4 linked regions of the Diceros bicornis minor genome follow. The main gene of each other region encodes a partner of the protein of the gene in region 4 in a complex. Links are inferred from orthologs where the notes say so. Each region holds a gene or a part of one and is shown on either strand. Other genes may lie near its edges. The genes, in order: SMC4, NCAPD2, NCAPH and NCAPG.

Region 1 (8,042 bases), on a different chromosome or scaffold from region 4:
CCCAAAATTTATAGTAAACGAATGCCTATTTAGTTCTTAGGATACTAAAACTGCTCAATGTTTTATTTCAAAAAGGTAAGCACTACTATGAGCTACTTGTAATTCATTTCCCTGGCTAAAAATTTTAATATTTTAAGTTTAATGGCAGCCACCACCACTCCTCAAAAAGAAAATATGGTCATGGGGGTAATGAAATCAATATCTGTTCTGCTTTAACCATATACTAATATTTGAAGGCCAATTTAAGCCAAAAATAATAAAATGTGCAATGTATTGAAATCTTTTGTGTTCCTTATTTGAAGTTACAAATAGCTAAATAGTCCAAGTCCCCTACCTTATCAATTATCTTTTGAAAATGAACTTCTACAGTACAACTCTGAATGTCCTTGTGTTCATCAGAATTGTGTATTAGTACCGAGAGTTTTTTAGATCTTATTTTTTGTGCTCGATAGCCAAACACAAAAAGCATAGAATCAATAACATTGGATTTGCCACTGCCATTTGGTCCAATAATACAGGAAAAGCGCTGCATAAAAAGAACAGAAAAAAAAAATAAAGTTAAAAAAGTCATACTAATTCTACTGATTTTAATCTGCTTGATTTTTTTACCTGCAGCAAACTACAACTATTCAAAGTTTTTACTGCTAGAAGATAACACAACTTAAGTTGTCACATCATGTTCTCCTCCATCACAAGCTTCAACACATTAAATAAGACTATATTCTAATTCTCACTCAGAGTTTTTACAAAATTCATTCTAATAGAGAAAACACACCCTTCAAACAAAAAACTCACCAATTCTATTTAGCGAGGAAAACTTTACAGCATAAAGAGGTACCAAAGATAACCAGATAAACAAAAGCTAAATCCAGTGGTTAAAAGGATAGGAAACATGCCCTGTGTGTATTGATCAGGATAATTACAATAGTTACACAATTGAAACATCTTATAATAAAGACACATTACCTTATAACAGTTATTTCAAATGGTCAAATACCTTATGAAAAGGGCCCAGAATTTTTTCCCCAGCATAGGATTTGAAGTTCTGGTTTACAATATGAGTTATCATAAGCCGAGGAGCTCCAGCTTCATTGGTCATTGCTGGAGGTGGGGGAGGAGGGATGCTATTTAGAATCTCTTCTAAACTTCTATTATCAATTTCCTCACTTGGAGTCTCTAAATCAGGCAGAGAAAACGGAAGGCAAAGGAAAAAAAAATCTGCATTAGTGCAATTAGTTCGGAGGACTAATGCCTGCTAATCTCTGGAGACATATTCTTTATGAACCTTTATTTTCCACTTAAATATAATACTCTCCTAAACTCACCGGGGATAAGAATCTTTCAGCTTGGTTTTATTTAAAAAAAAAAAAAAAAATTGTTGAAAGAAATGCCACCAGTCACAAAATTCTATAGAAATACACCTCTTAGGAATCAAAACACTACATCATCAAGCAAATCTGGGGAAACCACAACAACCTAATTCCCTGCTCCCGCCTAAACAGGTGGTTAAATGCAGCTCTCTCCGTCTCTTTGAGACGGAGCCTAACTTAGGGTTAGCCTGGAACCCTAACTTCGGACACTCACGAGCTCCAGCGATACTGTCACAGGAGTTGCATAATGTCATCCAACTCCCGGACTCACAAAAGCGATGCGGTTCCGAGTCAATTCTCATCTTCTGTTTAAACGCAACTGAAGACCCCGGAGGTGAGGTGAGTAAGTGTCAAGCAACTTTTCATCGTATTAGCATACAGGCAGGTTGCTTCTGTCGGACACTGGCTGCCCGCGCCGCTTGCCGCGGAAACACAAGGCCACAAACGCACACTTGAAGCCACTGCTCGCCCCCATCCCCTCCAGCACCGCTACAGAGACAGTGCGCGAAGTCCAATCTCTGAAAATCGCCAACTCGCTTTCTTGAGCTGCTCTGGGGGCCCGACACGCGACCTCCAACGCCACCCCGCAGCCCTCCACCCGCTCCCCGCGCGGCTCGCTCCCCCGCGGGCGGCCGGCACTCACCTGCGGCCTCGGCGGCCGGGCTGGCGGCGCGGCCGGGGCCGTCCGGGGACCGCGGCGGCCCTTCCTCTCGGCGCCGGGCGGTAGAGGGCTGGCTGCCTCTGCGGGGCATGGTGGCTGGGCTGGGGGAGGGCGGGAGCCGGTCAGCCGGGCCCGGCCCGACGGGAAAACCCCGTCCTCCGGGCCCTGAGGGCCGTTCTCCAAGCCCGCTCCGGCCAGCCGGCCTCGGGAAGGCAGGCACAAGACCCCAGGTGCCCGGCGGCGGGGGGGATCGCTTAGATCCCAGTGCTAAGGGAGCGGGGGAACCCAGACGTGCCCGGGCCTTCGGTCCTTCTGCTTTCTGTAATGCCCCCCATTCGCCCACGGTACAGGAGTCACAGAATGTTCTCGTGTCCTCCTAACCGAGGTCACGCGCCCGGAGATGCCATTCCCGCCTCGGGCCGGGAGACTCCTCCAATGGCCGCCCGCCGCGGTCGCCCGCTCCCCGCTTCCCAACTGGGCGCGGGTAGCCGGGCTCGGCTCAGTCACCCGGGCGGCGGCGTCGGTCCCTCGGGGCGCGGCACAAGCCGCTGGGTCATCGACTACGAAGGGTCAGCAGGACGGGCTCGGACCCGCGGTCGGGGTGGGGCGACGCCCCTGCCCGGGAGAGCCCGTGTTCCCTGGAAGAGCTCCGCGCGGCCGACGGACCCCCGACGGCGGCGGGAGCGCGGGGGAGGGGTGACAGCCGGAGAGCCCCCGCCGCAGCCCGGACGCGCCGCCCGGCGCCGGCCTCTGCCCGGGGCCCGCCGACGGACGAGAAGGGAGAGTGGGAGAGCCTGGGCAGGAAGGAAGGCCTTTACCTGCGGACAGTCCACTCAGACCGGGGCTGGGACCGGCTGCGCAGCCCCCGGTCTCCTACCGGTGTTTCGGCTCCGGGTCCTTCACTCGAAAATGGCGCCTAAAATACAAACTCGAACGGAAATTCGTTACAAATGCGCGCAGTGCTTTCTGGGAACCACTAATTTGAAAAAAATGCGGCGATTATCACCGCCATCTTCTGGTCGCTCACGCGCAGCCGCGAACTCTTGGCGGGACCCACGCGGCAGGGGATGTTTCTACTAAGAGAAAAGGAAGAGCGAAACAGTGTTTTCCCGATGGCCTACGGCAACACCACTTTTATAACAAATTAAAAAAAGAAAAACAATCTGGCGAGTTCTGAAACACACGAAAAAAAAGAGTGGGGTTCCGCCCACAGCTAGAGGCGGGGCTCAGTCGTCCAATAACGTCCCTGAAGGAGAGGGCGGGCTCGCTGAGGGCGGGGCCTCGGGCCCGCTCGGGTGGCGCGCGGCGGTGAAGTATCGCGGGAAGACGCAGTGAGCGTAGATCTTAGAAGTCACTATGGTGACAGGGAGGTTGCGAGGCTGCTTGGTAACCGGTCCTAGCTCTGCGATAACAAGTGCCACCGCTTTCCTGGACCTTAAGGTAAATCTCTTCCCTTCCAGACGTCGTGCGGAAAGGGTTTGGAAGTTGTGGCCATCACTGGATCCCACCATCCTGCTTAGACGGTGTGTGCGGCGCAGAGCGTCAGTTGTTTTCCGTCTCCCTGGGGGCAGTGGGGCTCTGGACGGAACTTTTGGGATGCCAAGGAGGAAGCCATGAGTGTGGAGGGAGTGGTGGGACAGCAAGGAGGAGAGAGGACCTGAATTGCTGAACGATCGTGTAGTCCACATGTGAAAAGCAAAATAACGATTTTGATTTACTGAGGTTAGGTCATTAGCGTCACTGGTGAAACGGGGTTTTGGGCCTTTAAAATCATTTGACTGAAAAACTCCGTAATGGAAGAAACGATTTGCCAGTGTCATCTGGTTCTCTTTATGAGAAAATTATCGATCGGCAAATATTTCTTAAGTAGCTTTTGTGTATATTACACTGTGCAAGGCATAATCAGGATTATTAAGCAAGTATTCCTGTTCCAGAGATGTTAGTTTTGTTAGTGGGTTTTTAATCTGGAATCTGTGGATCTGGTGGTAGGTGATTGGGCGTCAAAGGAGTTCATAACCCCCCCGGAAACTATATACAAAATTCTGTGTGTTTGTGCATTTTTCTGGGGAGTTAGTTTTCCCAGAACTTTGATCAGATTCTCAAACGTGGTCCTAATGCCCCACAATGTTAACTGGTTGATTTGACTACCTTGAGTAAGTATTTATTCAGCGACTCTTACGTACTTGACAGTGAGAACTGGGACCGTCTTTTTTTCCTTTAACTTTTGTGTACTTAGGGCCTGGCATACTAAAGCACCAATAAATCTGCTTTATGAATGAATTTACGTTGTGATTCTAAGTAAGTATTATGACTTTTGCCCTGAGGAGCGTCAGGCCTGGTCCAGGGATTCTCAAGAAGGGGTGTGAAGGACACTCCTTGCAGGTGTATTAGATGAGGTTGGGAAACTGTGGTTTGAATAGATATTATAATATACCTTTACATTTGAAGTTGAAAAAAGAATTATTATTTTCATAAGACAAACTACAGACAATAAAGCTCAATGAGAGAAATTCTTTGGCATACCAAGAAAATGTAGCAATTCTCTTTGAGAGCTTCTGGAATCTGTTGGATTTTCGAAGTTTGTAAAACACTGCAAAACCTGAGTTGGAGAGATATCAACCATGAAAAAAGCAGGTCTAGACCATGTTGAGTGGTGTATATGGGAGATAGAGCACAATGTAGTAGAAAGATGTAACGGAGAAAAGAATCCCAAATCCTATCATTTTTTAGCTACGTTCTTGAACAACTTAATTTATCAACTCTCTGACAGTATTTACTATAAAACCAGCATATAATACCCACCTCATAGGATTGGTTATGATTGTTCATCTAGCACACATGCTATATGCATTTGATATTGCTGTGTTCATGACATTGACCTTCTTAGGGTATGTGCTAAGGATGAATAATGGGATGTCAAGTTAGAAAAAGGTTAACTAATGAAGGGTCTTGAAAGCCAGGTCAAGGGTGTTAGATATGATATGGAGGAAACACCTATTAGAAAAAATTTGAGCTAAGGAATGACTTGGTAAAAAACAAAAATTAACAGTAGTTATGTGGATTGTGTTAAAGGGGAAAGAGACTGAGATCAGGCATGACTTAGTTAGATTATTACTGTACAGTCCTCCATGTGGACGGTGAGAAGTGCCTACAAATAGAATGGAAAAAATCCAGACACATTTAAGGGGAAAAAAATCTATAGCTTTTGCAGATTTTAATGGTTAAGGGTCTAAACCCTGGGCCAGCTCCATGGTATAGTGGTTAAGTTTGGCAGACTGCACTTCAGTGGCCAGGTTCGTGGGTTCAGACCCCGAGCATGGACGTACACCATTTGTCAGCCATGCTGTGGCAGGACCCATGTACAAAACAGAGGAAGATTGGCAAAGATGTGAGCTCAGGCTAATCTTCCTCAAGGAAAAAAAAAAAAAAACAAGATTCGCAACAGATGTTAGCTCAGGGTGGATCTTCCTCAGCAAAAGAGGAAAAAAATAACTGATAAAGGTTTAGGACATTTCCAGTACACTATGATCTCAATAAATGTTCTTTAAAAAAAAAGAGTCTAAACCCTTAAAGTTAGTCAGATACCGTTCTTTGTTTATAAATCCCTGAATTAGTGATGAGGGGATAGGAAGAAGGATAAGTCACAGATAAATCCTAGTTTACTGCCTTTGATGATTACTGTAAATAATGGTAGATCTTAACGACTGATGAAAAAGAAATATAATTTCAATAGATCAATAAAGTGATCGATGGCTTTAGATTTAGTTGAACCTAACCATGTTCCACTCAGAGCAAATATTTTCAAACAGGCTTAAACTGAGGGCCGGCCTGGTGGTGTAGCGGTTAGGTGCGCGCGTTCTACTTCCGCGGTCCAGGATTCACAGGTTCGGATCCCTGGTGCCCACTGACGCACCACTTGTCAAGCCATGCTGTGGCGGTGTCCCATATAAAGTAGAGGAAGATGGGCACAGATGTTAGCCCAGAGCCATTCTTCCTCAGCAAAAAGAGGAAGATTGGCATCGGATGTTAGCTCAGGGCTGATCTTCCTCACACACACACACAAAAACAGGCTTAAACCAGGTTGTATAATGTAGAAAAGGCATTCATAACAAACAGCTACAGAGTAGACTTAAGTCTAGAGTGAAAGTAGGACGCTGAATAAATGAAGAAGTGATTTGAGAAGAGATCAGGGTCACAAGAAGTACTCGATTGAGGCCTGCTAATGCTTTGGATAAGTCTCATGAAATTAACAGAGTTTAATTATAAAAAGAAGCTGGTCCAATTGGAATGGACTAGGTTACAGTCATTTTGGAAAGTATAACCAAGTTTCATCTTTCTGGTCCAAAATCATCTACTAACAACCGTTATCTATACTGAGTCTGAGAGGAGAACTTTCACATTTTACATTTTAAAAGTAAAATTGTATCCCACAGGAAGAAATAAGAATAAGTTCAAAGAGAAGAATTGGAATTAGAGTTAAAATCCACATTTATAATTCTTTAAGTGCGTGGTTAAGTTTTGTTATTATAGCAATAACATGTGTTTTGTCTGTCTTCTAATGTGGTTATAACATTTCATTGTCTTAAATTAGATTTGTGGGTAAATGTTTAAAAATATTAATCAAGTTTGTAATTGTAAATATTTGGATTAATTAGATATTAACTAATAATTCAAAATGAACAAATAAACATGAATTTATGTAACTAATGTATAAATACTTAGAGAATATTATTCAAGATTAATAAATAGGATATAGACACAGGACAGATAGTAATGAATATTCCTCTTGATAATATAAGCCCCCTAGTACATTAATCTTGCTGAAACTCTCATCCGTCTTAATACAGAAACAGTAGGAAGTGAAGAAGTGGAACAGTTTGGGGAGAAAGACCGTTTTGAAAGATGAGTTTGTTTTTATTCATGTAGGTTGGGATTAGGAAAGATATATCCAGTGGGCGGTAGAGGTGGAGAATAGGATAAGAGAGAATAGGCTCAGTAGAGAAAACAGGATGAGATAGTGTTATAAGAATAGTTGGAATGCTAAAAATAGATTAGGTTTTTAAGGTTGTGAGTAAAGAGAGGATCACCCAGAAAATGTCCATTCTTAGAATCTAGGAAGAAGAAATAATTATAGCAATGTTTCAGGTAGGACTCTCTAGATTATAAGTGACAGAAAACCGAATCCAAATTGTCTTGAGAAAAACATATTGGCTCTCATAACGAAAAAGGCAGATGAGTATAACTGGATTCAGTGTCCAAACAAAGACACCAGGATTCGGATTCTTTCTTTGCTTTCCTTTGCGTTCCTTTGTCGTGGCATTGTTCTCGGGCTCCATGTAGTGGCCTCTGGCACCTCCAGGCTCTCCCTTTGCTGTGGTAAGATATAGTAACTCCAGCCTCAAATCTTCTAAAATTAAGGACTGAGGGTAAGGAGAGTTTTTCTTCCCCATGATTTATTTGAATAAAAGTCCTGGGCCATCTGTGAAACAGTCTTAGTACAAAGGGAATGGAATGCTCTAATTGGCTTAAATCTGGGTCTCATGCTGGCTCCATTCAAGCCACATGGGCTAAGAGTGAGAAAGTGGGTGTTCCAAGGAGAAATTCTTTGTAGCTAGGAAAAGAGTGAATATGTGAAGAGTGACAAAGACATCAATTTTCACTACAAAGATCTAATGATTGTTAGGTTCTTACTATGTTCTAGGCACTCTACTGGATATTTTACGTCCTTGATCTCATTTAATCTTCATAACCAACCTGTGAAGTAGGTATTATTAGCCCCATTTTATATAAGGAAGAAAACAAAGTACCGTATCTGGAAGATTACTAGGTGAGAGTTGCAATAAGAAGGGGGTAAAGTACGGTAGAGACTGCAAAGAGAATGAAAATGGTGATCTTGTGAAAAAAAATATAACCATTGTTAGGTTTATTTATTTATTTATTTTTTTGTGAGGAAGATCAGCCCTGAGCTAACATCTGCCAATCCTCCTCTTTTTGCTGAGGAAGACTGGCCC
Region 2 (7,840 bases), on a different chromosome or scaffold from region 4:
TGCACCACTTCCCACCTGACCTCTTTTTTTCCTAGCCTCCTCCACTCCAACCATACTGGCACTTTCCCATCTCAGGCCTTGGCACTGCTCTTCTGTCTGCTTGGAATGCCATTCCTTGAGAATCTGCACAGTCTTCACTTTTAAGGTCTCTGCTTAAATGTCACCTATCAGCAAGCCTTCTCTAATCATCCAACATAAAATGCCAGTCCCTACCCTGGCACACTGTATCCTTTTTATCTTGATTTATTTTTCTCCTTAGCACTTAAACAACCATCTGACATATTCCATATTTATTAATTACTTGGTGAGAGCCTTGAGAGAAAGAACTTCGTCATCTTGTCTGTTTTGTTTACTGTTGTATCTCCAGTGCCTAGAACACTGCCTGGCAAATAGCATATCATTAGTAAATACTTGTTGCACAAATTAGATTTTATCTTGTATATTTATAGTAGAATTTGTATTTAGGGTTCTAAACACCAAAAGCAAAGCAATTGTCAAAAAAAGAACTCTTAAAGAGAGTGATCATCCATTTAAAAAAATAATGCATTATAATAACTGAACAAGAGTTTGCTATCTTGTACAGCATGTGCAATTGGTGATACACATATCCACACAACATGGAGAGAACAGTTTATCTATGGACATTGTTGGCTGGCCACCCATCAGTCAACCTCCACACTCCAGCTTGTTCCTTGCTTACCAAATGGTGATATGCCCAGGTTTGGGGAGGCTCCTAGGTAATAATCTTGATCAATTTAGCCAATCTGGGTAATTCTATTTCCCTTACCAGTAATTAGTTAGGGAAATAGGCACATGATCCAATTCTGGTTGGGAGGCTTCTGGTAAAGTTTTAAAAAGAGAAAGAAGAAAGGAAAAAGAACAAGATAGGAAATCCCCTTTTCTACCTCTGGACATGAGAGCAAAGAGCTGCCACCTGGCAATCATGATGGGACGGCCAAGAGACAAGCTGGAGTTATATTATCAAGCTGCTGCATTAACCACCCCTTCTTGTTGTAGCAGATAATAAATGCAGTAGGTTATTATCCCTGTCTTTACAGATAAAGAAACCGAGACAAAGAGAATAAGTAACTTGTCCAAGGTCAGAGTGGTAGAGCCAGGATTCAACTTCAGGCAGCTTGGCTCCAGAGTCTTAGTCTCTACTCTATGTACCCCTCCAAAGCAACCTAACGGATACAAGACCATTTCCAATAAGTACAGTGACATTACAGGTCTTGCTGATAATGCATAAACTGTTCTGGGTCATCTATAGGTTTCAACAGGTAATTGCATTGTACATATACTGTACAGTGTTCCAGCTGTACATATACATTATGTTTTTTTGGATTATTGAACACTCTTGGAAACAAGAGATCTAGACTCCAAAAAAGTGTTACCTGAAACAGGTCAGGTCAAGTCCCAGACATTCTGAGAAAGCTATCTTCTCCTATAATTCTTAAATCCACCAGGACTTTATTTTGGCATATGGTAAGAGATAAAGATCTAAAATAATTTTTCACCCCAAAAGTAACCATATACACCAAGACTGTTTACTGAACAACTGAGAGAAGGTAGTCAATGAGTGTACTCTTCCTGTACACAGTGCTAGGGTGAAAACAGTACGGAATAGGAAAGACGTTCCTTGCCCTCATGGAGCTTAGTGGTGTAGTGGAACAGAGAGACGATAAATTACATGTGGGAGGGTTGTTCTGAAGTGCTAGGCACAGCGGCAGCTATGGAGTCTTACCTCTAAGCTGTGAGGGAAGATTTCTGATGGACAGTACCTCTTGAACAACATACTGATTCACTCCTCCACTTTTCAACAATTCCTCCGGGGATAAGGGCAGACGGAACTCAAACAGTTGGGGAGACATCCTTCTCCCACTGGCTCACCTGGCTGGAAACCAGACAGCCAACAGGTCAGGGTCTGTATTTAAGGCCTTTTTACCTGGTCCCATTATTTCACCCCCTCTTCCAACATATAATGCTTTTTCAGTCTTACATCAAGCTGATAACATTATCTTAGAGGATGTGAGATGGACCCTGGAGTAGAATCTAATTTCTAGTTGCAACTCAGCCACTTGGTCATGTCACTTAACCCCCTGGGCCTCATCTGTAAGACAGGATTACTAATCTTTGATTACTTTACAAAGTTGCTTTGAGGATCAAATGAGTCAAGGGGTATGAAAGTGTTTAAAGAACTGTAAAGTGGCATACCAATGCGTTAAGTTAGCATTATTATTTCTGTTTTTATGGGCAAAACTTAAGTATAGAATGTCTCACCTGAGGCCAGAACAGCGGCCCAGCACGGGCTAGTGGGTTTCCTGGCTCCAGATGGGAGGGTATTAACACTTACTGCTTGTTTACTCTTCGCCAGATTTTGCTGGGCTATTTGAATATATCATATCTGATCTAATTCTCCAAACTCCAATCTCATGGAATGCAAAATAATACAAGCCAATTTACAGATAAGGAAATCGAGGCTAAGAAAGGTTTAAGCGATTTGCCCCAATTCCGCTGCAGATGCCAGACATCCTGTTTCTACCACATCGTTCCGCAAGGATACATCCACCAGACCGCCTGCCTCTCGCACGCTGCTACCACCGCGGCCCACTGCCCCGGACCCGATCTTCCCGGCCCTTCATTCCCCGCTCCCCACTAACATCACACCTTACCCGAGAACCTCACCCTCCGTTCCTCCGATTCGGGTTGTGGGGCTGAAACAAACGAGAAAACACGGGGTGCACAGTGCGCACCAATCAGTTAGGCAGCACTCAAGAAGGCAGAGAAACCGGCCAATCCCCGGCAGGCGGAGGCAAAAACCCGTCTCAGAGCCCCGCGCCGCGCGGGCAAAACCGCAAACAGGAGTTCAAAACTCAACGGCCGCAAGGGGGCCAATCGCGACGCTCGCTGCAGAAACAGGCCAATCACAGCGCAGGAGCCGGAAAGCCCGGCGGCGCCGCCGAGGGAGGGGCGGGGCCTAGACTCGGACTCCAGCCCCCCGTCCCCAGCCCCCCTAGTCCTGCGGCTGCCTCCCGCCCACTGGGTCCTCCTCTTCCCCGGTCGGTGGGGAGGCGGCCCGGGCAGTGCCTGCCAGAAATGCCGCGTATCAAGGTGGGCAGTGGTAGTGCCCCTGGGATAGAGACCCACTCAGTCACCCCCAGGACAGGCGGCGAGTCCAGGCCGGGAGTTAGAAGGTTTAGGCTCTAATCCAGGTTCCGCCATCTCGTCTGCTGTGTGACGTCCAGCAGGTCACTTCACTCTGAGCCTCAGATTTCCTCCCCAGTAGAATAGGGCTAATAACAGCTACAGCGCAAAGCTGCTGTGAGGCACAGAGACAGGAAGCTTTGGGTTCCAGGTTCTGGACCCTCATCTCCCTCACAGTTGAGGGATGCCCAAGGAAACAGGAAAGGGTGAGTTTTCTTGAAATTCAGTTTTGAGGCGCCCTGCATAACGACGAGATGAATCCCTGAGCAAGCCTGGCGCTCCAGAGCTTCCGGCGCGGAGGCCGGAAGCGCCTAGGCGGGCGGGTTGGAGGCGTGAGGTGTAGAGGCCTCCGCGAACCGGAACCCGGAGGGTGGGGCTTGTGGTGGGGGAGGCGGGGTCAAGGCGGGCCCTGCGCCCGGAGCTACCTGGGTAAAGCCCAAGATGGCTGCCTCCGTGTAGTACCCGTGTGAGGTCGGCTGGGGCAGTCCCGGTGCTTTCCTTGAAGACTACGTCTGGCCCTCGCTCTTCTGCGCGTGCGGTGTGCTGTTGTAGGGCGGAGACGAGAGCCATGGCAGGGAGCCTCTCTTGGATGGCAGGCAGGGCCTTAAGGGGCTGGGTGCCCCTGGCTTGCAGAAGCTTCTCTCTGGGTAAGTGGCTGATGTGGAAAGACGTCCAGAGAACTGCTTCTCAGTAAGCGGCTCAGATTTATTCCCTTTCTTCCCCATCCCTAGGTGTTCCTGGATTGTTCCATGTAAGGGTCACCCTCCCGCCCCCCAAAGTAGTTGATCGTTGGAACGAGAAGAGGGCCATGTTCGGGGTGTATGACAACGTTGGGATCCTGGGTAAGACTCGACTTCATGGTACAGGATTTCAGAATGGCAATTATGCCGTAGCGACTATCTTTTTTTCACCTGTGTAGGAATGGTACCTTTGTCAGTCGTAAGAGCAAACACTTGTGTGGCTGTTTACGTTGTGTTCTGCACTGTTCTGAGTGCCCTACATGTATTAACTCATTTAATCCTCATAATAACCTTTTCACTTTACAGGTGAGGAAACTGAGGCACAGCGAGGTTAAGTAATTTTTCAAAGCTAGTAAATGGGAGTGTAAGAATTGAACCCCAAGCAGTCTACCTCCAGAGTGTGTTCTCTTGATACTGTAGTGTAATGTGTCTTGTCTGTGGGTGTTGCTCAGGAGGATGCAACTGTGTGTTGAAAGCTTAGCTGGTGGAGGGTGGGTTCTCTCCTCTTGGAGCTAATATGTTCTCTCACATTACACAGGAAACTTTGAAAAGCACCCCAAAGAACTGATCAGGGGCCCCAGATGGCTTCGAGGCTGGAAGGGGAATGAATTGCAGCGTTGTATCCGAAAGAAGAAAATGGTTGGAAATCGGATGTTCATTGATGACCTGCACAACCTTAACAAACGCATCAGCTATCTCTACAAACACTTTAACCGACATGGAAAGTATCGGTAGAAGAGAAAGCTGGGAGCTGTGGAAGAGGCACATCTATCCCCCAGCAGAAGAGGGACAGTACTTTCCCTTAAGAGGAAAGGGATTTGTATGCTCTCTGTAATAAAATGGAGCTTCTTTGGAATCTGTTATCCACACACTTTGTTTTCCTCTAGATGCTGTTTTTACCTGTTCATCTAGACTATGCAGTCTGACCCTTCCCTAAGTCTTAGGTTTGGACTTCACCACTTGCCCTTTGCAGTCTAGCCATACCTATGGCCTTTAAAAAAGATTATTGTTGGCATTTTTGGACATTTGGCCCTTCATGTATAGAAAGTGGTGATTTTTTTTTTCCGCTTTTTCTCCCCAAAGGCCTAGTAGATAGTTGTATGTCATAGTTGCACATCTTTCTAGTTGCTGTATGTGGGAGGCAGCCTCAGCATGGCCGGAGAAGCGGTGCATCGGTGCACGCCCGGGATCCAAACCCAGGCCGCCAGTAGCGGAGCGCACGCACTTAACCGCCAAGCTACGGGGCGGCCCCTGAAAGTGGTAATTTTTTTTTTTTTTTTTTTTTTTTTTTTGTGAGGAGATCAGCCCTGAGCTAACATCCGCCAATCCTCCTCTTTTTTTGCTGAGGAAGACGGCCCTGGGCTAACATCGGTGCCCATCTTCCTCCACTTTTATATGGGACGCCGCCACAGCATGGCTTACCAAGCAGTGCGTCGGTGCGCGCCCGGGATCCGAACCAGCGAACCCCGGGCCGCCGCAGCGGAGCGCGCGCACTTAACCGCTTGCGCCACCGGGCCGGGCCCTGAAAGTGGTAATTTTTAATTGCCCCATAATGCTGTTATGTTAAATGTGCTTTTACAAACCTTTCCATACTGGAATGAAATGTAGTAGAAAAATGGAGTTGTACTTCTGCACTATTCTCATAAAAAAATATTGGGTAACTTTTCTCAGCTGAGAACTGTAGGAAAAACAAAAAAGCATAATATATCCTTCCCATTCCCTCCATATGCTTTTCCAGTTAGGGGTATCAAGTTATATTCTCACATGTACACTTCAATATGAGGCATTAAGGACCATATGAGTGGTTTGAAAGGGTGGTTCCCCAGCCTGACTGATCATCAGAATCATCTGGGTGGTTTAATAATTTCAAAGGCCTGGGCCCTGCCCCCAAAGATTTGTGATCTGTAGAGCTGAGCTGAGTCTTATGCATCTGTGTGTGTTTTTTTAATAATTACAAAAAATGTATCTATACAAACAACACAAAATTTAAAAATTACAAAAGGGTAATCAGATGAAAAGTCTTCTCACGGCCTGTTTTTTTGTGCTTTTCAGAGGCAACTACTCTTACAAGTCTTTTTAATCCTTCTGGACGTACACTATGCATGTGAAGTTTATTAACTATCTCCTTTTAAAAAAAGATTCTGTGCACACTGTTCTGTACCTTTTTCACTTAATATACCTTGGATACTGTTTTATATCCTCACATTATGTACCGTAATGATTTAACTAGTTCCATTTTGATAGACATTTAGATTGTTTCCAGGCTTTTGCTTTTTCAAAGTATGACTCCCTTAAATTTAGGTAATTCTAATTTTAAAAGCAGTCGGGTGAATTTAGCAGTGTGTGGAAAGCACTGATGTGGACAATAAATGACCTAGATAAGAGAATATATTTGGCCTAATCGGGAGAGGCTTCATACAAGAGATTGGATTTCAGTAAGCAGAGAAAGCATTTCCACTGGGGCAGAGACGAGTGATGAGTGGTGTGTGGTGAGAGAACACAGATCTGTTGGGAGGTGGCGAGGTAGATCTAGCTAGAATGAAGTAGGACACTATCTGCTCTTCTGACTTTTAAAAACTTGCTTGGCTGTGAATCAAGTAAGTTTGACATTACCCAATTGAGAGGAGAAAAATGTCGCTGCAATTTCTACAATCGTGTATTGATTAGGGTTAAATTTAGGATGTCTGCAGTGCCTAAAGTAGACTCTCAATAAATATTTGCAGAATGAAATAAGGAAAGTATTTGATGTATTGCTTTTAAAGAAATCTTTTATGTGGGTTAAAAGTGCTATTTGTGTTTCTTGGAGGGTTGATAATGGCTAGTCTCTGGTATAGGCTATTGGTGAATATGGCCTTTGGAATCAGACAGGTCTGGGTATTACTGCTTTGGAAAATGGAAGAAGGAAAGGGAATGCCTTTTAAGGTCCCTTTTCTTTGATTTGTCTGAGGCTCTAACTCATAATATTTTTGCTTTTTGATTTTACTTGGATTTATGTGTCTTTGTGTCTGTCTTCCCCATTAAGTATGCCTCATCCCCACTGAGGGCAGGGACTGTCTTGCCCTTATTTGATAACTGCAGTAATCTAATATCTGGTCTCTGTGTACTGGCTCTTAATAGGCCCTTGATAAATATCTCTAGGAGTCCTTCATTCAACAGCCATTCACTGAAGGCCACCAGTAGGTGCTAGGGATACAAGGAAAAAAAAGATACTACTCCTGCATTTAAAGAATTCTACTTAGTGCAGGAGGCACACAAAGAAGAATAATTATAAAATTCATTATATCATGGCATTTATTTTTTTTATTTTTTATTTTTTTGTGAGGGAGATCAGCCCTGAGCTAGCATCCGTGCTAATCCTCCTCTTTTTGCTGAGGAAGACGGGCTCTGAGCTAACATCTATTGCCAATCCTCCTCCTTTTTTTCTTCCCCGAAGCCCCAGTAGATAGTTGTATGTCATAGTTGCACATCGTTCTAGTTGCTGTATGTGGGACACGGCCTCAGCATGGCCGGAGAAGCGGTGCGTTGGTGCGCGGTGCGAACCCGGGATTCAAACCCGGGCCGCCAGTAGCAGAGCGTGCGCACTTAACCGCTAAGCCACCAGGCCGGCCCCTATCATGGCATTTAAAGCTTGTTAATACCTATATACATAAGTATAGAGAAGAGGGACACATCTCATCCTGGGGGAGCAGGAGTGGGGGTAGGGAAGGCCTTCTGGAGAAGGCCATTACTGAGTTGTCTTAAAGGAGTAGAAGCTAGCAGGTTTTCCAGGCAGATGAAACAGAAACAAAGGTCCAGAGGAGAGAAACAGCATGGTGTGTATGGGAAAGCTGTGAGTGGTATTTATTGGTGGAGCTAAAGTGCATGGCAAAGATAGGGCAGGAGATGGAGGCAAGAGT
Region 3 (7,798 bases), on a different chromosome or scaffold from region 4:
AAAGGGGAAAAGTTGCTAAACAATGTACTCAAGCAGGTAAAGGTGTTGCCTTTGCTGAGAGCACAGACAGCCCATCCATAGCAACAGGAAGGCAGAGAACACAGGCACAGATGCAGAGAGGGGAGGGGGTGCAATGGCAGACTTGCGGATGTTCTCTTTTGATTGCTTTTATCTTCTTAGTAAAATAGGAGGTGAATAAAAACCAAAAACTCAGCAGCTAAGGGTGAGGGCTAGGGACGAGGTACTGGCGACTTTAGGAGAGAAAGGAGATTAGGGAACAGTCATCCAGGAGAAGGAGAGGGAAGAAGCAGGGAACACAGCATGACTGCTGGGCAGCTCTAGGGCCCCTTGAAGCTATCAGTGTGCAGTGGCTGGGGAAGAGCCGGGATTAACCAGGGTTATGATTTTGTCAAGCGGGTGTAAAGAAGCAAGACGGCAAGGAGTTACAGGTGTATGAAAGGGAGCGATTATGTTGACTGACCACGGCATGTAAGCTAAGTAAGGAGGGGAACGAGGACATGAGAGATGAGGGACAGTGAAAAGCAGAACATAGGTCTGCCGGGTCAAAAGACTGTTGGCGTCGGGGAACAAGGGGGAGGGAGGTGGAAAGATATGAGTGGAAGTGGGGTGCTTAAGATTGAGATAGAGTGGTTGCAGCTGTTGATAATGACAAAGTCACGGAGTGACTACGGTAGTCAGTGGCTATGGCCTATTATGGTAGGGCAAGAAACAAGATCACTGGAAGAAAGAGATGAAGGAACTGAGAGACCTTAAGGGAGTTTCCAGATTTAAGAATCAGAAGGCTTGGCTTCAAACCCCAGCTCCATCACTAACCAGCTGGAGAAATTTCAAGCAAGTAAATACTCCAAGCACCTGCTTCTTCATCCTCCAAATGAGAACAAGAATGTTCATCTCAGCTGGTTCAGAACTGGTGATATAAAAAAAAGCACAATATAGGGGGCCAGCCCAGTGGCGCAAGCGGTTAAGTGCACGCTCTCCGCTGCAGCGGCCCAGGGTTCGCTGGTTTGGACCCCGGGCACGCACCGACACACTGCTTGTCGAGCCATGCTGTGGCAGTGTCTCATATAAAGTAGAGGAAGACGGGCACGGATGTTAGCTCAGAGCCAATCTTCCTCAGGAAAAAGAGGAGGATTGGCATCAGATGTTAGCTCAGGGCTGATCTTCCTCACAAAGAAAAAAAAAAGTACAATATAACATTTTATAGGAACACACTAAAAACAGTGATACACAATAAATACTAAATGATTGCCCATGTGAGGGGAAAGGGAAAAGGAGTGGTGAATAGAGACAAAAGAGAATAAAAAAAAATACAAGAACTTTACATTTTCCCCGAATAGCTTCCCACCAGCTGAAGTGTATGATTAACATGACTCTCAGCTGAGGTCAAAACAAACAAAAGAAAAAGTAAAAACGGAAGGAGGCAAGAGGCATTTTTAGAGACTGAACCAAAAAGGCTTGTGACTATTCGGTGTGGGCACTGCAAGGTAAGGAAGGGAACTGGACCTTGGCAGAAGAGACCTTAACAGAAATAGGAAGCACTGAGGGAGGAACTTGTCTAGGAGGGAGACTCAAGATGGGAATTAGACACACGCTTCAATTCTTGGAATATTCTTTGATTTCCCTCGTTGCCTTTAATATCATGCACCTGTTCATTCAACAGATGGTTACTGAGCTCAAAAACACTTTCTGCAACCACTTCCTCACCTCCGGTCTGGCTCCCATCCCCCAACTTAATGAAAAGCATCTTATCACAATCACCTGCAACTTCCAGGTCACTCAATCCAACGGTCACTTTTCAGGTCTCATCTCTCTTGAGAGTCAACAGTATCTGAAACAGCTGACAACCTCCTGCTTCGTGAAACAATCTTGGCCTCTATGATACCACTTTCTTCTGAGTTTTTCCAGCTCTTCCTTCCCTATCCAGCTTCTAAATGTTGGCCCTGGGTGCTTTCTCTACAGGGTCTTCCTAGTCATCTCACGGTCATCTCACGGTTTTACGATCTACATGATGATGATGATGATGTCCAAACTTATTTCTAAATCCATGGGCCACTTTCCTGACCCATATCACTCCCCTAAGTGTCAAACTCTTATCCAAGTGTTTATTTACTCCTTCACCTGACTGTCTCTCGGGTAAGTCATTTACTATGTCCAAAACGTAACTCTAAATTTCCAAACCTCTTACCAAGACCTACAAAGTCCCTGGCTACCTGAGTGACCTCACTATTTAGCCAGTGTTCCCATCCTAGCCCAAGCCAGGCTTTCCTGCTTGCCCTTTGCACTGCCTCCTTCTGCCTGGAACACGTTGCCCAGTCTCTGCTTTAAGATCTTCCCTGAATCCCTAATCCATAGGGGCCCCTCCCCCACTCCGCTTTTCTCAATCACAGCCTCATCTGTAATTGTTTCGTTTGTTTACTGTGTCTCCTCAACTAAAATACAAGCTCCCAGAGGTTGGGATCGTGTCTGTTTTGTTCTTTACTGTATCTCTGCACCTGACCGAGGGTCTGGCCCAAAGGGAGCGCTCAGTACTTGTTGAACGAATGTAAAACCAGATGCGTGCGCGCTAAGCATACAGCGGTAACCACAACGCCTCGAGGGTCCTAACTAACGTGCACTCCAGGAACACCCCCTTCTTAATGGAGAGACACCAGGCACGGTGTAGGACCCCAGCGGGGAGGGCGCCCCACACCCCGCTCGGGAACCGACGAGTGGGGCCGGCCCGCGCGCGCTCCCGACGCTGGCCAGAGCCGCGTCCTGATTGGCGGAGCGCACTCCACCCGCCGCCTGTCCCTTCCCCGCCGCCGGCCTCACTCCCCCTCGGCCCGCAGAGAACAAGGCGGAGAACATCCGCACTCCCCGCTCAGGCCCGCTTGCCCTGCCCGCTCGGAGCACCGCTTCGCGCCGGGCCCCCCCCGCAGCGCCCCCCTCCCACCCAGCCTCACCTGGGCAGAGAGTTCCCATCTCTCTCCCCGCGTCGCTGGAGCGGTTTAAATCGCGCGCCGTAACAGCCTGCGCGCCGTAACGGCCCGAGTGACGTCGCCTGTGGGCGGGGCCAGGGGCGCGCCTGCGCAGACCTCCTTGTCCTCCGCGGGAAAAGGTTCGCGCCAGCCGCGGAGGAGTGAGACGTCGCGGATTGAGGGCTCGGGACTGGGATCCGGTGGTTGTACTGTAGCGGGTTCGTGCACCCTTCCGAAATGGTATGAAAACTCCCTGCTTTCGGCGCTGGACGCGGAACTGGGCGCTAAGGACCCAGCGTGGAGCAGGAAGGGCGAGGGCTCTGCTTTCACGGAATTTACTTTCTAATGGGGGAAGCGGATTACCAGGAAACGAGTTGATTTCCCATAGCGACCTGTGCTGTGAGGGTAGCAAAACGCTAAGGAGGTAGCAAGTGATGGGCTGGGTGTGGGACGGAGATGAAAAGGAGCCCACACCGGAATGAGGCGCGTTCCAGGCAGGGGAAGGACAGATGCAAAATGTTGCATGTAGATTTTTAAAGGAAGGCCATCGTTTTTGTTCAGAATTTTGAGAAAAGCTTCCTGGATATCTCCACCCCCCGTTCAAAAAAAAAAAGTTAAGGTTGGAAATGAGACGGGTGTCATGTGCCACCTATCCCTTCATTCTGCTTCATCTGATCCCAAGAATTGTATTATGGGAGGAAAAGGCCAGGACAATTCCTCCAAATATCCCTAGAACATCCTATAGTTTCTTATAATACACACCTGGCATTTTATAGTGTTTCTTAAGGATGCTATTGGCATTCAGGATGAAACAGTTCTTGACGTGTGGGACTCTTGCTCTCTTTGTAGGACTGTTCAGCAACCCTGACACCATTTGCCCACTCCATGCCATCAGTGCCCCTCAGTCATTCTGGCAACCAAAAAGCACTACCCTTTGTTGAAAACCACTTTTTACACCTATTTGGTTTTTCAGGAACTTGTGCTCCCAGCGACCACCTTCAAATCTTTAGCGTAAGGCAGTGTGGGATAGAGAAAAAGTTTACAGTATTCTTCGTCTCAGTGAATACAGCCTCCCAAGAACCCAAATCAGCTCACAGGAGCCATCCTGGATGCCTCCCTCCCCTCACTCTCCACACTGTACAATCCATCGTTGAGCTCTTTACTTCCTAAAAAATCTCTTCAATCCTGCATCTCTCCTTTCCATCCACATTATTTTCTTGCTCATCTGCAGCAGCCCCACACCCACTCTGACCCGCTTCTCATTGGGCCCAGGGTGGTGGTTGCTAAGGACAAATCCGACCTGTCACTTCCTCCCCAAAGTCTAAAACCACTCTCAAGTTCCACTGCTCTGGAAACTTCTAAAGTGATCTACAAGGCCCTGCAGGGTCTGGTCCCTGCAGCCTCTCCAGGCTCATCTTGCACCTTGCCTCCCCTTGCTCCCTGCCCTCCAGTCACCTGGACCTTCTTTCAGACTCACCCTCACCATGCCTGCTCCCACCACAAGGCCTCTGCACATGCCACGTCCTCCACATAGGATCCTCTTCATGCCCATCTTCACCCGGTTAGCTACCGTCAGGTTTCAGTTCACGTCACTTCCTCAAGGAGGCCTTCCCTGATATCGCTCAATTGTTCTTACTGGAGGCTTTAGTAGAACTTGTCACCTTTGCAATTTTACATCTGCTGGGGTGACTCTTTCATGTCTGGCTCCTCCATAGACTGTCACCTCCATGAGGACAAAGCTGTGTCTTTGCTCACCATTGTTTTCCCAGGGCCTGGTGCTAGCCCTGGACACAGCAAGTACTTAAGTATGTATTGAATGAACGATATTGGAAGACAAGTTTAAATCCTGGATTGGGCATCTGAACATCTCTGGGCTTCATTTTCTTCCCCATTTATAAAATAGTGATGATAAAACCGTCTTTCTCTGGGCTTGATGAGGAATTAGGTATTAGATTAAACTTGTGAGCACATGGGCTCAGAGTACACTAGAGTCCCTGTCATCTCACTCACTTGTTCCCTCTGTGCTGAATGCATTTGATTTTTTTTTTTTGGTGAGGAACATTGTCCCTGAACTAACATCTGTGCTAGTCTTCCTCTAGTTTGTATGTGGGATGCTGCCACAGCATGGCTTGATGAGCACTGTGTAGGTCTGTGCCCGGGGTTCTGAACCCGGGAACCCCGGGCCGCTGAAGTGGAGCACTGTGCATTTGAGAGAGGAGAGTGGGAACAGGTTGTGATCCTCTGGGTTCCGTGTGTGTGCCAACTAAGAGCAGTGGGGGTTGGGAGGGTGGTAGGTTGCACTGAATGAGGAGCCTCTGAAGAACTGGCTTGGAACTCCTGGCAGAGGAGGCTACTAGGTGACCCGTTAGGTGAGGCATGAGGCTGTTCTCTGGTTATAATGGAGCCTCCTGAGCTGACTGCTTGGGACTCATGTGCTGGAAGGCAGAGCCAGCTCCACCCCCTGCGTTTCTGTGGGCCAGGCCCACTGGGTGCAGGCACACAGATCATTCACCTCCCACTCTGAATGCCGTCTTTGTTGTTTGGGGTTAGGACTATGAGGGTGCCATAAGAGTGAATGATTTATCAGTGGTATCAGTGCTATGCAAAGCTCATTTCCTTTGTACAAAAATAAAGTAGTGGGGCCCCTCCCCGACTCCTTGTCTGCCAGAAAAGCAGCACTGGTTCCCCTTCCCCATTTCACTCCTCGCCAAGATTCTACTTCCTCAAAATGGAGGGCAAACAGCCTTAGCTTAGGTGAGGAACAATAGTGTCAATCAGTTGGCTACCTGAACAAGCAATCTTTTGCCTTCAAATTTGCCCCGACCTTCCAGGCTGCAGCAGGCTTATATCATAATGTAGTTCATGATATAAACCATCAAGTCACTGGGGCTCAACAGGCATGTAGTTGAAATGGCTTTGCATTCATTTTGGCCTCTGAGCAAATGCCTTTAATTTTTGTATGTGATATGAAATTCCTGACCTCCTAAAGACTGGGCTAAGAACCAACAATTTCTGTCTTCTAGAATTTCCAAACAACATGCTACCCTTTATCTTAAAATTAATATAACGTTTTTTGCTTTTCCAAGCACTTTAACCCTTACATCTTGTTTTATTCCCAAAACCATGCTGGAAGGTTGCTAGGACAGGTATTTTCTTCCAGACTCTGCTATTTACTAGCTGTGTGACCTTGGGGAAGTTGTGTACCCTTTCTGTGACTCAGTTTCCTCATAGTAAAATGGAGATAAAGCACCCACTTCATGGGGTTATAGTGTGAGGATTAAATGAGTTACCAGATGTGAAGCATTTAGCCCAGTGCGTGGACCATTGGCAGTGCTCAATGGACGCTAAGGATTCCCATTACTTTAACTGCTGTTATATCCTGGGTGCCAGCCAGGTATTGTTTCAGAATAAAACTCAGCTTCCTACATATCTGGAGAAGTTTCCACTTTCATTGTAAGAGTATTCCCAGAGCACTCCAGCTCTGTTCTTTCCATTACTACTTGTTTTTTCTATACTCTTTCTTACACCCTCTGCCCCACCCAGGCTTCACTGACTGTTCCCTTTGTAGTCTTCTGCCCACTCATAACTTTACGTTTTCTTTCTTGCCTCTTACTAGACTAGAACCCATGCAGTTCTAGAACATACCACCTTCTTTCTACCTGACAGACTTATGCCTTCTAGAGCTTACGCATGTTGTTTGCAGCCACTGAGATCTTTTAATTTGGCTGATATTTAGGGCACCATGCAAATGAATACCTTCAATGTTCCTTCATATTCTGAATTATTCTTTTCTGGCTACTGGCCATGCCACTGGGAAACCACAGGGCAGACGGGTTCAAGGTACGTTGAGAAATACCAGGATGTACTGGATGAAGCTATCAGGGTAACATGAACTTCTTGGGAACAGGCATGTGAGAATGCTGATGTGCTGTGTGTGTCATTGCACGGATGCCAACTGATACAGAAAATAGCCTCCTTTATTGATTTGGAAGCAAAACACCAGCAAATTATTTTCTAAACAAAAGGCATATGAATGTTTATAAAACATGAAAATCCCACTAGCATCGAACCAACCATCATTGCATCTTAACTCGAAAGCAGTACCTGGCAGATACCAGCAGACAACAGGGGAACACAGCAGCTATTGGCAGTGGGAGCCCCAACTATTGACTGGCATCAGCTTCTGGGACACTTGTAATTTATTTTTGCTGGGGGGAGGGTGTGGATTCTACAACCAAAGCCCATACAGCCAGGATCTAAACCCCCCTGAGTCAAATTAAATGTGGGGCCAGGTTCTCCTCCCCAGCAGATCTTCCTGGCATGCAGGGTAGGAAGAGCATTGGTATTCCCAAAACAACCACACCCACAGCTAGAGTCACATTTCTTAGCACTCCTCCTCAGGATGCCCAAGGGTTTAAAAGAAGGGAAAGATATACCAACCACATCTCCAGAATCCAGAGTTTGTTAGAACTGGACTGCTGCACAGTCCCTTCCCGTCCAACCCTGGCAATGGGCCTGGATTGTGATGACCCCACTTTACAAAACCGCAAACACAGTTCAAATAATCCCTTTGTGATCTTTGAAAAGGGAATACAAAGGCATTACCAGACTGAGAAAAAGCACAGACAGCTACACATGGTGGCTCAACCTTCTTTCCATTTAACAAACAAGTGGCTCCCCCAGAAACAGTAATTGTTCATCTCAGAGCCCCCCAAAAGATTGTCTTCATTAAGGGTTTTATAATGTTGCTTCCAGGCACTGAGAAGCTCATCAGATTTTGGCTCTTTAATTTTAGTAAATACATTATCTCAATTCTGGGA
Region 4 (7,422 bases):
ACAGGCAGAACACTTTAACAGGCATTACATAGAAGAAATATAATTGGCTGCTAAATATAGGAAAAGATGCATAACAATGACGTATATCATACACATAACCAGATTAACAAAAAGTTAAAAATCTGACAGTACCAAACACTGGAGAGGATCTAAATCAATTGAACACTTTCATGCACTATTAGTGGGAATGTTAATTGGTAAATTGTTTTGTAGAACACTTGTACCTCATCTAATAAAGCTGAATTCACACATACTCCAACAAGTTCACCCCTAGGTAAATACCCTAGAAAAACTTGAGCCTGTGCACCAGAAGCCATGTATAAGAAAGTTCATAACAACACTGTTTAACAGCAAAATAACTGGAAACAACTAGAAGGTCCATCAATATTAGAAATATTAAACTGTGTTACATTCATACAACAGAACACTATACAACAGTAAATAAATATATCAACATGGATGAATGCTACAATTAGAAATAATGTTGAGAGCACAGAAAAATATAGTATGATCCACATAGCATACAAAATGACAGGCAAAATTTAACATTATTTAGAGATACATACATGTGGTTAATTGTTTAAATAAAAAGGCAAGAGAATAATTAACCCAAAATTCAGGATAATGGTTAACTCTGAGGGACAGTGATGTATGTAATTGGGGTGGGACGTAAGATAGGTTTCAAGGGTACTGATGATGCTCTATTTTTTCAAGTTAGGCAGTGGCTACTTGGGTATTTTTTTAAAATAATATATATAAAACACCTATACTCATCCATACATATAATTCATAATAAAAAAATTTGTCTAATGAGAATTTAACAAAGTCAACGAAAGTGAAAAAGGATTTAGGGAGCTACACGTACCATTAACCACTGGGCATTCATCATCTTTGGGATCCTGAAGACGTGAAAGAGCCAGAACTGCCTGTATCCTCACATTTGGAATTTTATCTTTCAATCTAATAAGCATGGCTTCATTAATTTTATCAAACAACTCATCATCAATCTGGGCATTTTCTGGCATACTTCCCAAAAGCTTGTTTATGAGCTGGCACACTCTAAATCTAACTGCATTGCTGTTTGCTTCATGAGACTGAAACAGAAACACATCAAAATTTATTCATAGTCACATACTATTACTAAATAATCACACACCATTTGAATTATATGTTTAGAATTCAAGACGTTACAAAGGTAATTCATTCCTTGCAGAGAAACCATAATGCTACCTTGACTCATAGGAAAACTAAATATACAATATATAAAAGCTCAAAATATACAGTCAGAAGTAAATATGGGCTCAATTACAAGAGCATATTCCCCTCTGTAGGAACTCTTACTTTACTTCCAAAATAGAGAACTCATTTAAAACACATGTATGTGATAACTGGTTTAGAGAAGTCACTAAAAATTTAACGCTGGAGTTATTTTAAAAGTCCACCTTTTAATCTTAACGACAGTTCTAATATTTCCTATAAAAAGCAGACTCATTCACAGACGTTCTCCATTATCAGATATTTCATTCTCTAAAACATACACACTCCCAGGTCCCTTTTAATATAGTAAAATTTTCTACAGTACTTCCCAAAGTTCTAGTTTTCATAATACCTTTAATAGAAAAGTAAACAAATAATTTAAAATGTCACCATCTTCCTCTTCCTCCTCATCTTCCGGATCTGACTGGTGAAAGGAAGTAACAAACTTGGCTGCAAATTCTACGACCCTCTCCACAGCTGGTTCTCGTTTATAGACCACCATAGCATATTTAAGGTAATGAACGAACTCCTCATGAAAAACTGTTTTATTATCCATCTGAAAGACAAAAGAAACCTTCACAAACTGCACTGATAAAATCCTTTTTTCCCAACATTACCCTAAGACTGCTGAAAGCACTAGCCATAACTCAGACAAACCAAAATTATTTAGTAAACTCTCAATTATCCAAACCATCAAAGGGGACATGAATTTGCACGAATTTCTCTCCAGGGACATTTAATTCTCCTAGGGAGAAAACAAACGCGAATTTTGACAGTGAACGGATTCCTTTGGTATTTTTTTTTTTCCAATACCCTTGAATTCTCCATACGCCTTGGTACCGGTTTAAATACGCTTCATGAACAACCCAAAACCAACAGGGCTTTTACATTTTACCATATGTAGCCTTATCGACACACCAATTTCCTTTTGACATAACTTTCACATCCCTTCTCATATCCTCAAGCCCTGTTATACTGACTCACCATTTTTCTTGGACTTCCAGATAATTTATTTTCCCGAAATTCACTGCCCTATTCTTCTCACAGCTCCACTCAAAAACAAAACAAAACAAACCCCCAAAACAAACAGTATTCACGCGAACAGAAGAGCCAGGTGCTAATGACGCATCTGCTCTTTGGTGGTTTGACTCAATGTACCCGGGGGGCGAGGTGAGAATGCTGTGACTGGCGGTCGCTGTGGGCGGAGACCCGAGGGACACGACCACCGCGTCCAGGAGCTACCCTGCGGCCCAAGACTTGGTGCCCGGCAGCCCCGGTGCCCGTAAACGTTCCTCTCCGAGTTCACCGCCCGACAAACGATTAACGGTCCGCGCCAAGGCCGCTGTGAAGAGGGGGGGTGCCCGGGCGACCTCGGGCAAGTCGCCAGACCTGTCCCCGAACCGGGTCGGGAAGGGTAAGGAGGTTGGCGTCGCGGCGCCGAGTCCGGAGGGTCAGCGGAGGCCCCTGGGGGAGGCTGGGGGAGGCTGGCCGGGGAGGGCGGGGCGGCGGGGCGCCCGGGACCGCGGGCCGGCCGCGCTTACCAGGCCGTAGGTGCGGCTCAGCGCCCTCACCAGCTTCGCCTGATTCTGGTGCGGCTGCTGCGCCAGCCGAAAGACCTCCTTCACCGGCAGCAGCCTCTTCTCCACCCCCATGGCGCCGGGACCCCGCTGGGACGAGCCCTGTCCGCGCTCGGCTGCAGCTGCCGGACCGACCACAGGCCGAGTAGCCGCAGAGTCCCGTCAGCCGCCGCTGGGCGCCCAGGGCGTGGTTACCGCCAGACTGTTTAAATAACTCCCGCGGGAGACGGAAATACCGCGAGACTGCCGCGAGAGCTTCAAGAGGCGAGAGCGGGAAGAGATGGATCCACCCCTCCCTCAAACCCCGGCGTTTGGGCGCATGCGCTTAGCCTCAATCCAGTCATTATCCGAGTGGGAAGTGGCGTTTCTAAGAGGAGGGGGCGCCGGCTCCCCCGGAAGTGGTGCCGGCAGGGAGGGTGAGCGGAGTGGCGCTGCTTCTGTTGGGACAGAGCTCGTGGCGCTAGGCCTAGCCGGGTCGTGTGGCTGGGCGTGAGGCGCGAAAGGAGAAAGGAGCCTCCATGGGTGAGAACAGGGAATCTGCTGAAGGGAACAATCCCTGCTCCGCCTGAAGGGGAGCAGGGGATCCCGGGAGGAGGGGTACATTTGGAGATCCGTCGAGAAGGGAAAGATAGGGGGGCGGCCAGCGGCCCGGCTTCTACGAAGAAGGGAAACGTTGCCGGGTCTGCCGAGGGGGGCGTTCCGAGGTCTGATGATGGAGGCGCCGCCGTCTTTTTAAGCCTTAGGTCCTCGGTTTGTGGAGGGTCTGCAAAGGAGGGAGACCGTCCGAGAACCGCTGCAAAAGGAGGCACGGTTTAATTTAGATACAGCTTATTCCAAATGTACCCGCTTTCGAGGCCCGGTTACAAAGGTGCATAACGACAAGGTATTCGACAAAGCAGAAAACAGAGAATGGAAAAGTGTTTAGGTAGTGGTTAAGATAAATTTGGAGTGCCTTGGAGCAGGAACTAAGCCTTTAAGCTTTTTTAAAAAAATGGAATTATATCAGACAAAAACGAACACCTCCGTACCCACAACCAGCTAAAGAAATAGATTAAAAGCCGCCTGTATACAGTTACTATGAATTACCTTCCCTCCCCAGCTGTAACTGATTTTCTGAATTTACTGTCCATTTTTATGTATTAACGACATGAATAAATCACAGGATAGGTATATTGTATTGTTTTCACATTCTAACATTATATGAGTAATCATACATGCAGCTTGCTGTTTTCGATCAGTATTTTTTTTGAGGTTTGTTCATATTGATACTTTCATGATAATAACTTAAACCTTGTGGGCTCTTATGTGCTAGGCACTGTTATCAACACTTAACTTCATTTAATCCTTACAAATAACCCCTGTAAGGTAACTTCTGTCTCCTTTTGAGATGAGGAAACTGAGGCACAGACGGGTTGCTGTAGTATTCTATTGTATGAATATGCCATAATTTATTCATCCATTCTCTTGTTTCATATTCCTAATTCCTGAAATGTTGTAGGTATTCAAATGCTAGTTAAAGTAATGAATATAGTAGCATTTGGGTTGCCAGTAATTTAAAAATTACAAGATGTCTAGTTTCTGAAAAGGTGAGAAGGGTAAGTATTTTAGGTTAATCAGCTGGAGGAGAAGCATAGAGCCCTAAGAATGCATGGAATACCTATACTGATAACATTTATAATCTCACTATAGCTAAAAGGCAGAATGCCTGGAAAGTTGTGGTGAAAGAAACCTAGAAAGGGCATTAATTTTTTAAGGAAGTATATCCAAAATATTATCATTTCAACATGTAATCAGCATAAATTATTAATGAGATAATTTACATTCTTTTTTTTCCCTGCTAAGTCTTTGAAATTGGGTATTATTTTACACTAGCTATATTTCAGGTAGGCACACGTGGCTAGTGGCTACAGTATTGGACAATGCAAAACTACGGATTCTTACTTTGAGAACCACTGTATATGCCATTCGTTTTACATGTAAAGTCAACTAGTAAACAGAAAATTAGAACAAACTAATATTTGGAGGCATTTTTCTTATTCTGTGGCCGTTAATTACTCAGCTTTCTTTATGCTTTGGGTCCCTGATACCTTTATTGCTTTGTTTGACTGTGAAGTTTCTAACAATATTATTTCCTTTATTTTATATGATTGTTTCACCACAAATGAGAGATGACTTCATACCATTTTGTCAGTTACAGAAGGATGAAGGGTCTGGCCACCAGAGGTCAGCCTAACTATATTTTGATTAGCTTTTTTTTAGGATTAATAACATGTTTTTGTTCAGTATTTATTGAACATTATAATCTGAAAAATTTAAAAAAAGATACTAGATTTCAAACTGAAAAGGCAACCTTTGGAATAGGAGAAAATATTTGCAAACCGTACAGCCCATAAGGAGTTAATATTCAAAATATATAAGGAACTCATACAACTCAAAAAAACAAATAACTTTATTAAAAAATGGCAAAGGACCTGAATAGACATTTTTCCCAAGAAGACATACAAATAGCCAACAGGTATATGAAAAGATGCTTACCATCACTACTCATCAAGTGCAAATCAAAACCACTGTAGGACATCACCTCACACCCGTTAGGGTGACTTATTAAAAAGTCAAAAGATAAGTGTTGGTAAGAATGTGGAGAAAAGGGAACCCTTGTTAATGTTGATGAGAATGTGAATTGATACAGCTATTATAGAAAACAGTATGGAGTTTCCTCAAAAAATTAAAAATCTTTGCCATATGCTCCAGCCATCTCACTTCTCTCTGGGTATATATTCAAAGGAAATAAAATCACTATCTCAAAGATATGTCTGCACTTGCATGTTTATTGCAGCATTAGTCACAAGCCAAGATATGGAAAAAACCTAAGTGTCCGTGGAAGGGTAAATGGTAAAGATGTGGTGTATACACACACACACATACACAATGGAATACTATTCAGTCTTAATAAGGAAGGAAATCCTATAATTTGAAAAGCACAAGTCAACCTGGAAGACATTCTGCTATGTGAAATAAGTCAGACACAGAAAGACAAATATTGAGTGATCCCACTTATATGTGGAGTCTAAAAAAGTCAACTCAAACTCATGGTAACAAAGAGAAGAATGATCGTTACCAGTGGCTGGCAGGTAGAGGAAATGGGGAGATATTGGTCAAAGGGTATAAACTTTGAATTATAAGATGAGTAAGTTCTGGAGGCCTAATCTACAGCGTGGTAACTATAGTTAATAATTATATATACTTTGAAATTTGCTAAAAGAGTAGATCTCAAGTGTTTTTACCACACACAAAAATGGTAACTGTGAGGTGATGGCTATAGCTTGATTGTGATCATTTCATAGTGAATACATATATCAAAACATCACATTGTACATGTTAAATGTATACAATTTGTCAATCATACCTCAGTAAAGCTGGTAAAAAAGATGCTATATTAACCCTAAACATCAGTCTCACTGCCTTAAAGCTTACCTGTTTATTGACTTTGCTTTTAGTGCTATGGGAAAAAAACAAATAATAGCAACTATGGGAATACGTCTCTTCCTATTCTGGGTAAACTTAGTTTAGTTGAAGAAATAATGAAACTAAAGAATTTGTATGGTAAGGCTATCTAGTTCTGAAATCACAGAAAAATCATTCTTTAAAGGTAAATTATACATGGGAGTATATAGAGTAGATGTGGTTAATTCAATTTTGATATGGGAAAATTATGCACATGGCATGTAAAGGAGTAGCAGTGATGCGTTCACTCTAGAATTTATATATGCCTTCAAAGAGACTGTCTTATTTCTGCTAAAAAAGTAGAGTGAGCCTTTTAAAGAAAGCTTTGAGTAACATAATTGAAGTATAGCCAATTAATAATCTTGGCGATGGATTGAAAATAGTAAAAATATAAGAGAACAGAAGAATTAAAAGCCAATAGCTTAGCCTGTCTCAATTAGTAAAATAAAGACTTGTGGTATGTTTCGAATTTTCTTTTTGTTTTCAGATTGAACTAGGTAATAATATAAACTTCAAAGTATTTGCATTCATGTTTCTTCTTAAAGCTTAGGTTATAAGCAGTTCCCTTTATATTGCTTTAGTAGCATCATTGTTGATCCTGCTTTAAAAAAATTTTCATTTGTCTTTGTCCCACATATTACCAAATTACCTGAATATAATTTGGAAATTTTTGTCTCCCTAGAATAAAAATAGAACACACTTGTATTGTTACTTATAGCAGGACTTCGTCATTCTCTCTTTAATTCTTTTAAAAAATTTTCTAAGCCCCTGATATGTGCCACACAATGCTGGGAACTGAATTAGATAGAAAGAACATGTGGAAGCCGGAGAAATATTCTTTAAAGGAATATTACTGATGTGAAGACATACGGTATGACCTTATTAGCACAACTCTGTGTATATTTGAAACTAGACCTGTTTACTGACGTTCATTTTGGAAATCACTCCTACAGAATGGCGTAAATGGGATGTTGATATTTTGGTTTTTGCTTTTTTCATTTAGAGCTATGCGTTTAGTCCATCCATGTGGCTGTGTATATTTCTAATGTGCTTTCACCACGTTTTACCTACCCACTCCTCCAGT

Evidence for each region.
Region 1: NCAPG (region 4) and SMC4 share a complex: the UniProt entries of both Homo sapiens proteins name them as parts of the condensin complex. The link is inferred for Diceros bicornis minor from reciprocal best matches to the Homo sapiens genes NCAPG and SMC4.
Region 2: NCAPG (region 4) and NCAPD2 share a complex: the UniProt entries of both Homo sapiens proteins name them as parts of the condensin complex. The link is inferred for Diceros bicornis minor from reciprocal best matches to the Homo sapiens genes NCAPG and NCAPD2.
Region 3: the proteins of NCAPG (region 4) and NCAPH are in contact, whole or in part, in a crystal structure (PDB 6IGX), measured with the Homo sapiens proteins. The link is inferred for Diceros bicornis minor from reciprocal best matches to the Homo sapiens genes NCAPG and NCAPH. Residues at the interface, in NP_071741.2 of Homo sapiens: Lys11, Phe14, Arg15, Gln18, His50, Tyr51, Lys53, Tyr54, Val55, Met56, Val57, Glu62, Ala64, Val65, Val68, Phe102, Ser106, Glu108, Ala109, Asn110, Ser111, Val114, Arg115, Ile149, Arg150, Lys152, Asp153, Lys154, Arg159, Glu188; in NP_056156.2 of Homo sapiens: Glu471, Ile472, Asp473, Phe474, Glu475, Asp476, Asp477, Ile478, Phe480, Val482, Tyr483, Phe484, Arg485, Lys486, Thr487, Ala489, Ala490, Thr491, Ile492, Leu493, Gln501, Asn502, Trp503, Ala505, Thr506, Thr507, Leu508, Phe512, Tyr514, Val516.

What each region holds. Positions count from the first base shown.
Region 1 is NC_080754.1:66,299,609-66,307,650, reverse strand, and holds the start of SMC4 (structural maintenance of chromosomes protein 4), read right to left. Parts: upstream 3,023-8,042; 5' UTR 2,850-3,022; intron 2,133-2,849; 5' UTR 2,123-2,132; coding exon 2,014-2,122; intron 1,177-2,013; coding exon 998-1,176; intron 527-997; coding exon 335-526; intron 1-334. Other genes in the region: IFT80 (intraflagellar transport protein 80 homolog), read left to right, coding at 3,388-3,471. UniProt on the Homo sapiens protein: Central component of the condensin complex, a complex required for conversion of interphase chromatin into mitotic-like condense chromosomes.
Region 2 is NC_080756.1:55,179,495-55,187,334, forward strand, and holds the start of NCAPD2 (condensin complex subunit 1), read right to left. Parts: upstream 3,019-7,840; 5' UTR 2,686-3,018; exon of another isoform or gene 2,673-2,685; intron 1,895-2,672; 5' UTR 1,872-1,894; coding exon 1,745-1,871; intron 1-1,744. Other genes in the region: MRPL51 (large ribosomal subunit protein mL51), read left to right, coding at 3,773-3,851, 3,936-4,046, 4,483-4,679. UniProt on the Homo sapiens protein: Regulatory subunit of the condensin complex, a complex required for conversion of interphase chromatin into mitotic-like condense chromosomes.
Region 3 is NC_080779.1:16,183,394-16,191,191, forward strand, and holds the start of NCAPH (condensin complex subunit 2), read right to left. Parts: upstream 3,043-7,798; 5' UTR 2,983-3,042; coding exon 2,964-2,982; intron 2,649-2,963; exon of another isoform or gene 1,780-2,648; intron 1-1,779. UniProt on the Homo sapiens protein: Regulatory subunit of the condensin complex, a complex required for conversion of interphase chromatin into mitotic-like condense chromosomes.
Region 4 is NC_080747.1:14,138,853-14,146,274, reverse strand, and holds the start of NCAPG (condensin complex subunit 3), read right to left. Parts: upstream 3,004-7,422; 5' UTR 2,910-3,003; coding exon 2,799-2,909; intron 1,814-2,798; coding exon 1,610-1,813; intron 1,095-1,609; coding exon 866-1,094; intron 1-865. UniProt on the Homo sapiens protein: Regulatory subunit of the condensin complex, a complex required for conversion of interphase chromatin into mitotic-like condense chromosomes.